Linked DNA regions of Saccharomyces cerevisiae S288C. Changing the gene in region 2 together with the main gene of any one other region gives a genetic interaction. Each region holds a gene or a part of one and is shown on either strand. Other genes may lie near its edges.

Evidence for each region.
Region 1: mutations in TPO3 (region 2) and AQR1 impair growth when combined (synthetic growth defect), as found in Saccharomyces cerevisiae (one study listed by BioGRID).

Annotation. Positions count from the first base shown.
Region 1 is NC_001146.8:501,606-506,080, reverse strand, and holds AQR1 (Aqr1p), read right to left. Parts: upstream 2,358-4,475; coding exon 597-2,357; downstream 1-596. Other genes in the region: type I HSP40 co-chaperone YDJ1, read left to right, coding at 1-213; putative glucosidase SUN4, read right to left, coding at 3,304-4,475. UniProt on the Saccharomyces cerevisiae protein: Probable transporter that confers resistance to short-chain monocarboxylic acids and quinidine.
Region 2 is NC_001148.4:837,225-841,489, forward strand, and holds TPO3 (spermine transporter), read right to left. Parts: upstream 2,554-4,265; coding exon 685-2,553; downstream 1-684. Other genes in the region: NCA2 (Nca2p), read right to left, coding at 1-189; TDA6 (Tda6p), read left to right, coding at 4,042-4,265. UniProt on the Saccharomyces cerevisiae protein: Cell membrane polyamine/proton antiporter, involved in the detoxification of excess polyamines in the cytoplasm. Recognizes spermine, but not spermidine.

The DNA.
Region 1 (4,475 bases), on a different chromosome or scaffold from region 2:
TTCACATCAGAAGAAAACTTGAAGAAGTTAGAAGAAATTTTGCCTCCAAGAATTGTCCCAGCCATTCCAAAGAAAGCTACTGTGGACGAATGTGTACTCGCAGACTTTGACCCAGCCAAATACAACAGAACACGGGCCTCCAGGGGTGGTGCAAACTATGATTCCGATGAAGAAGAACAAGGTGGCGAAGGTGTTCAATGTGCATCTCAATGATTTTCTTGATAAAAAAAGATCAACTTATTCACGATTCATTTATTCATCATACTTTTCACTTCAAAATACAGTTTTGTAGCTATACATATGTAAAGTAATAATGGTAGAAAATGCAGTTTACCAAAAAAAGTTCTAATTATGACGAAATCTTAAGGAAAGAGTAAAGCAGGGATTATATGCTGAAATTTCCACTGTATATATTTGCCACAGAAAACCATTTTTTGTATTAGGTATATTTAGTGCACCTTTAACATGTCAATAATTCAACGGAAAATTAACGAAGTAAATAATACATTAATTAGGAAAAATTTACATGAAAGTCTATAAGCTGTTTATAAAAAAAATATGCAGGGATAAGTGTCTATCAAATTGAAGAATGCCAATTAATTATGATTATCGTTCTGGTCTCTTTTTGTTCCCTTTTTGGCTTTGACTGCCAAGGTGTTTAACCAAGACTGTCTTTGTTGTTTCAATAATCTATCCTCCCTCCACTTCATACCATATTTCATCGGAATAAACATTAAGAAGTTGAAGAAAAATACCAGCGCACATAAAAATGTAAAAGTACCACCTACAGTCATCGCAGCTTTCATTTTGGCAAAGCAACCCATGAAGATGGTACTCAAACTGCACCTAACAAAGTTGAAACAACTACTTGCTGTAGATGATTTCGTTGGGTACAAATCGACCAATAACGTAGTTGATGTTGATAATGTACTCATAGCACAGTATGAACAGACAAATGAAGTAATTAAAATAGATTCGATCCTCCAGCCCTTATCTATACTCCAACCAAATAAAAGATAGGCTACGACGGCCAAGAAATTTTGGGGCAGAAGACAAACTAAACGGACTTTGAACATATTAATCTCTGCGTCTTGTGGAATCAACCCGTTAGCTTTGTCTTGCTCGAATTTCTTGATCTTTCTCTTGAAATACATGTCAATAATTCTACCTGTGAAGAAGGAACCCATTAAACCGCCAATACCACCGGGTAGATAACACACACCAATAATGACCAAATGATAGTTGTATGGCGCCACTGATAAACCGGATGAAATAGAGGAAAGCATTAACGTCCACATAGCAAATAAGAGCCCTGATGGAAATAAAGACAGAATAATTTCTGGCAATACAAGGATCTTCCCGGCGGATGACAAATCTAGTTTCGGAATGGTGGGATCTAATGTCTCATAATCAGGATTATCGTACTTGAATCTCCTTCTAACTGGGCCCAGTAGGAAAATCGGCGCTCTGTTGATGAATCTTTTAGGCTTAATGGAAAGGTTACCTGCAATGGTTCGCTTTGTTTCTGGCAAAATAAGAAAGGCAATTAGAAAACAACTTCCACAACCAATGGTCAAAAACCAAAAGATAGCTCTCCAATCCCACCTTGCAGTCAGGACGGCACCAATAAGACTACCAAAACATTGACCCAGTAAAACAAACCCTGAGGTGGCGCCAACAAATGTACCTCTTTCATGCTTCAAAGTGAAGTCCCCGACAACACCAGAACTGATTGCAATTGTGGGGGAAATACCAATACTCTGAATACACCTCAAGAAGATAATAACACCGTATGATGGAGCACATGCTAGCCCGATGGATGCAATAACGTATATCAGCATACCTGCTAAAATTATAGGTCTCCGTCCAAAGCAATCCGCCAGACCACCGCTAACTGTGGGAGATATACCTTGAAACAACAGATACACAACCACAGTAACGTTAACCATATTTTCATCCACATTAAATTGCTTTTCCAACTGCCTCAAAGCGGGATAATAGATCGGTGATCCCAATGAAGACCAAAAGCCACACATTGTTAGAATTGCAACCATTCCCCACTTCTGACCGTAACTTAGTAAAGTATATGGCGCTTTTGTCTCTGCAGTTATCTGTTGGGTTGGATCAACTTTATCATCACTGGAGTGAGAAGAAGTCTCAGAGTCTAAATCGCCTTCTATTTCCCTTGTGGTAGTCTTGGATAGAGTCCCGTGACTGTTGATATAAGCGCCTTCGAAATTTAGTTTTTCACTTTTCGTTTGACCATCTGGTTTTGTGTATTCTCTCGTCAGATGCTGCTCATTGTGAGTAGGATACATCTCAATATCTTCTGTGTATATACTGTTACTTCGTGACATTGCTGATTCGACTTTCTGAATCTAGCTTGGATTCTCAAAAAAATAAATTTATCTCCGTATAAATGCTAACTTTGTAAGCCTGGAAAAATCCATAATTTTATATAGAACGACAATATTAGCAATAAAAAGTTAGTAAAAAGTGTATAACCTTGACAGTGTTAAGCGTTATATAATATTGAGTATGATCAACTGTATCCTCGATGAGGGCAGAGAAGTTTCTTTTTCCTTGCCCTAAGGTGCCCGCAACTTCCCGGTGACGAGAAAAAGAAACGTTGGAACGGCTTCTCGTCTGAAGAAAACAATGCAGGCCGGGCATTTCACGGAACAAAAACGGTTCCATCAAGCCGGGTGATTCATAAATTATCCGATACCGGAACAAATCGGTGAGAGATTTTCCGATGGAGGACGGGTAACGAGCCGGTATTTACCGATCTATGGAGTTTCCGAGTCATTACGGGTCCTTTTGTTTTCGTGTATGCTCCCTTCCCCGTAAGAAGTATACGTAGGAAGTGCGGTCTGCGCTGGACAGTATAAAACGGAAACAGGAGTCATCGAGGGGCTCCGGATTTTTTTTTCTTTTTTTAGCATTTAGCCTAATTGCACATTGTGAATAGATTGCCGTAGTAGAAAAAAGCCTTAGGAGTAGATAGCATACGGCAACAGAACTACAAAAAAAAAAAAAAGAGATTTGATGTCTTTTTTTTTTTTTTGGGTGGTTTTTAGGACAATGAAAGAAGAGGTGTGCGATGTATGTAGGTTTTCAAATGTCTTTAATATTACAAAATAATTTATGTCTGGAAGAATGATAAATAGAAACAAAGTAAAAAAAAATTGATATTAATCCGGCGTGGGTTTTAGTGTATGTTAAACAGACAATAAAATGGACGGGCAGAAAAGAATGGGGTAATAATACAATCAACTTACTCAACTGTTGATGCGCCTAAGTTTAGTTGTATAGAACAAACTTAGCTTTGCCAGCAGTAACGGAAACGGTACAACCGTCAGAGCCACCGCTGAAGCTACCGTTTTCATAGATACATTCACCGTTGACTGTAGAAGAGTCATCAGCGGCGACAATTTTGACATTGAAATTCAATGCGTTACCGTTGTTTGGGTTGGGAATCAAAGAAAGGTAGGCGACACCATCAGAAGAACCAGCGCCAAAGTTCAATGGAGCCCAATTACCGACGCCTGAACTTGAAGAACCCCAAACACAAGCATCTTCGACAGAAATACCGGCATTGTTAACGTAGTATTGCGCGGATGTCTTCAATCCTTGCCAAGTGTAGTAGGTGTCCTGATCAACGACAGTCAAGGGTAAAGAGTCACCTGCTTGCACATATGTAGGAATCACCATGTTTTCGGTACCCGGGTAATCGGTCCTGCAGATAGCAACATCGTTGCTCAATTCAGAGACGACGTAAGCGGCATCAACGCCCCATTCGCATAAATAGTCAGTATCTGTATTTGAACGGTACAGGTAGCCGTCCTTACATAGCAAACCACCAATGGATCTGCCGTCAGATGGTTGGTCAGAAGGCCATTGTGTCTTGGACATACCTGGTTGGCAAGCGTATGAGCAGTAAGACCCTTCTTTACAAGAGCCACCCGTAGAAGTGTCAGTATTTTCAACACCAGACCAGCCACCTTCATCTAACCAGCTGATGGGGATAACACCTTGACCAGATGGAAATTGGCCGCAAGGAATGGTACCGTCTTCAAATTTTTCATATGGACCTGAAAAGTCAGCCAAATCACCGTAGATACTTCCAGTTGCACTGGAAGCTGCTGAAGATGTGGAAGCTGACCCAGATGTGGAAATAGGCACAGAGGATTCGCTAGTAGAAGTTTCTGAAGATGTCAGAGTTGTTTGAGCCGAAGACGAGGTGGTAGCGATTTGTTCAGTACTCTCAGAAGAAGAAGCAACTTTGGAAGAAGACTTGGTGACCGAAGATTCGGAAATCAGAGTAGTAGTGGAAGCAACTGTAGAAGAGGCTTCAGTTGAGGTTGGAGTGACGGTCTGACCATTTTTATCGACAGTGACTGTTTCGTAAACGTATGTAACTGCAACGGCCCTCTTATGCTGGTGTGAACCATGAGCAGTAGTAGTACATCCTG
Region 2 (4,265 bases):
AATGCAGATTTTTTCAACAATTGACCTGATCAATTGTAATTGATCTTGTAACCTACTTAGTTCTTCATTTTCCTCACGTACGTCTTGAATCAATTGTTGCTGTGAATCAAATGCAACCTCTCGTAGTGATTCCTCTAATGAATGACTTATCTCTTCAAAAGATTTCAAAATACGCCTATTGATGATCATTTAAGAATATTAATTAAGGAACCTGCAATTTTGCAATAGGACTATTTTGTTGACTTTGTTGTTATTACTAAGTTTTAAAGTGGAAAAGAATTCCGACCCTTTGTTTAGTGAGTGGGGGTCAATCAAATTCGTATTCCTCGGTCAAATGAGGAGGAATGTAAAAACCGAAAATAAAGTCATCGCATAGGTACAAGAAGAATGAACTTGAGAAGTTCAAATTTCTAATTCAATTTTTTTTTTTTTCTATACATATAAATTAATAAAGTTACTCACGGTTTGAAGGTCAATCAATATATTTGTTTAGGATAGCAATAGATAAAAGAACAATAGAGAAAGAATGTAAAATACGTAAAAATATATGTACATTACTGTCGGATAATGGTTTGAATGCATGTTTGATATGTTTGCTTATGTTTGCTTATGTTTGCTTATGTTTTTATCATTACTACTACTATAATTTTTCATTATTATGCTCGATTCGTAAAATCGTTACTCTTATTCAATACTATCTATGGAATAATCCTTCTTGGATAACTTATGTCTCAAACCTTTGCCCCAGTAAGAAAATGCAAAAGGTAAAGCAATCATAGCAGTGGAGATGAAAGCCAACAACCAAGAACCCCAGTGCAGATTCAATTTGTGGTACATTTGAATGGTAAACAAGGGGAAGGCAGCACCACCGGCGGATCTTAAGAAAACCTTTGTAGCCAGAGCACTGGATGCGTATTGGACGTAGCAATCAATAATGTAATTATTCAATGAATAATAAATCAACACCATACCGAAACCAAAAGCTAAACCAGCTGAAGCTGGACCAACCCAAATAATATGTTTATAAGCGGTAGCACCCAGGATCCATAAAGCAATTGCAGCAAATGGAGCACCGATCTTAGCACCTAGCAAACGATCTTCAGGAGTAGGTTTACGCTGTTTGACAATTTGTAAATACTTGTTTTCACAGTAGAAAGTTGTGGCTAACGCCCAAAGAGCACCGATAACAATAGGAATAAACATCAAACCCACAAGGTTGTCTTTGTAGCCATATAGTTCACCGAAAATGACAGGGAAGGCAAAGAAGAACGCATATAGTAGAGAGTAAATCAAACACACGTAGAAACAAGTAGCAACTAGAACAGGTTCAGTGACAGAGAAGTACAAAGGTCTCAACAGACAAGCCCTCATCATTTCACCCATACTGACACCTTGCGCTTCCTGCTCAGTCATAATCTTGGGATTACCAGTTTCCTTTCTTAATCTAGCAGCCTTTCTCTTCAAGATAACTGGAGCGTACGTTTCTGGGATGGCAGAAGATATGATCCACATAACACCTGCAAAGGCCATATTGACCCAGAAAATCAGGTCCATACGTCCGGTAGAAACGGAAATAAAACCGTTAACTAGTGGACCAACAACGGGACCAACGTAAGGAGCAAAAGCGAAGAAAGCAATAGCCTTACCTCTTGTTTCACTTGGGAACATATCGGCAATAGACCCACCAACTAAACACAAACCAGATGATGACCAAACACCACATAAAAATCTACAAGCTAAAAGACTACCTAGATTTGGAGCTAAGGCGCAAGGGATATTGAAGATGACATAAAGACCCATAGAAACAAAGTAAGCAACTCTTCTACCGTAAAGATCACTAACAGGAGACCAAATCAAAGGACCCAGCGAGAACCCAATAACCATTAAAGAAACCGATAAAATAGCGGCTTCCATACCTACATGGTATTTCTTTTCAACGGTTCCCAACCCACCACTGATACAAGCAGACCCGTAGGCGACACAAATAACTAAGATTGACAGTAGGACAGTGTAACTCCAACGGATCCATGCAGGCCAGTTATGGGGGTTTTCTGGATCGCCAGTCACAAAGGTAACGAATTCAATTTCCGGATCTAGATCTGGAGCTTCGTCATTCGCACCACTAGAGTCGCCTTCTTTACCCTTTTCGTTATTATCACTTTCTAAAGCATCTTCATTAGAAGAAGGCGAAGAAGCGCCATCGATCTGTCTAGTTCTCGTACGGGAAATCGCAGTAGAAGTTCTACCTATGGAATGTAGAGTGGCGACAGGAACTAAACCTGTAGGGGTTTCTAAAGTATATTCTTCAGGAAAAATCTTATTCTTGCTAGATTGAGGAGCATTAACATCAGGAACGGGGGCTTTGGAGCTCACACCCATGTCCTGCAATGACTTCACGGTTTCCGTCCGGGTCAACTTCAGTTGATTAGGAGCCATGTTGGATTTAGATCCACTCTCTGAAGGGATATATTGTTGCGGCTGCTGACTTTCTACATCAGACAACGAAGATGTTTCGTCTGAATTAAACGAATTTATGGATTCCTGTCTGTTCATTTCTGTTTATCTTTGGCTAGAGGAGTACTAATGCAAAATTAAAATAATGAAGTAAGAAGGGAGAAAGTAATTAGTTATATTAGAAAACTAGACCACGAAATTTGTAGTATAATTATGGGTATGACAATTAAAGAATTAGGGTGAACGCTACCGGTGAGGACAAAAAAGGCTGAACGAAGAAGAAAAATAAAAAGAAGATTAGATCAACGCACCTAGACGAAAAAGAGCAAATACTGCTTATTGTATTCACTTTGGAGAACAGGTTGTAACAGGACAGCTGACAATTGCTAAGTTAAGTAGATTACAAAGACAAATGTTCTTAGGCGAAAAGAATATATAAACTAAAAGAAAAAGTGGAAAAAGGGTACGTGTAAAAAGAGACTAGGATGGTTGAGCAGCGAATGATTGCAAGATATATAAAAGAAACGAGCCAGTTTTACAGCGTTTAACGCAGATCCAGAATATGAACAAAATGCATTAGGAAATAAATGAAAAAAATGGCTCTATGGATCAGGGATCATCATGGCTGCCGGAAACTACGCCGTTCTGTTTTGTTTTTGTTTTTCCTTTTTCCCGTTTGGGTGAAATCAGTGAGCTGTTCCGATCCGTTGGGCGAAGACATTGCCGCAGTGACGAAGCCCGGCTAGTCCGATTGGGCTCCAGTAAACCCCTCGCCAAGCACAGAGAAGCTAGTCAGAGGCCCGCTAGACTGTACTTACTGGTCTTTAGCACACGACGACCGTACTTTGCACGTGGCTGCAGACACATTTTGTATGGAGGGAATGCTTGATTATATAAAGAGCTCTGTTTTTATGTTACCCGTCCAACGTTCTCACCCGGCTCCGCGCTATTTTTTTTTTTTTTTTTTTTTTTTTTCAGACCCACACAAAATCCGCGTAGCCGAGATTGCTTATGTATGTTATCATATTGCCTGTTTGAGATATGCAGGATCAGCATAGCATGTCTCTAACCAAATTGTGGGTCAGTCAATTATGTTGCTCTTTTGGGTATACGCTTTCACCGGATTCTCGAGAAATCGTATAATGCATGCCCCAAAGCAGTGGCCGTTCTCGGAAAAATAAAAATAGTTTATATCTCAATTTAGTTATATGGCTATGACGGAAACGACAAAATCAAATTGAAACTTAGAAAAAATAAAAAACAGCGCATTATTAAGGTTTCATGACTCCGTATTCGCTGTCCTACGTGTAAATAGGAAGAAGAAAAAAGTGAAAAAGGAAGAACCCTTCTTTTGAAGGAAAGCATAACTCGTTACTCATACGACGGATGCGAGATATACTCTCTACGTAGTTGTACTAGCCGAATGAAAAAAGAGAAAGTTCCGAATATGTAAAATTGAAATTTCTCTTCTTTATAATAGAACTAACAATTGAACTTTCCTTTTCTTTTGAAGCTACCGTCAATGACAAAGAAGGCAGCTTTGATAAAGTACTCAATAGGTAAAGCAAACTTCAATTCAGTTAGCGAATGCATTGCGTACTAGCGCGAATATTGTTATGGTTCTTAATAGTAGATCTAAGCGTCATACGGGCGCTTGTCCTTCCACCATTGAAAGATTATGATCCGTTAGAGCCTTTGATGAAAAGAGACATGGCCATGGGTCAACGGAACAGATTCAAAGTCGACGGCCAATTGCCGCCCATACTAAATTCCACAGATGTGACAGATGATCAGAGAAGTCTGCATACGCC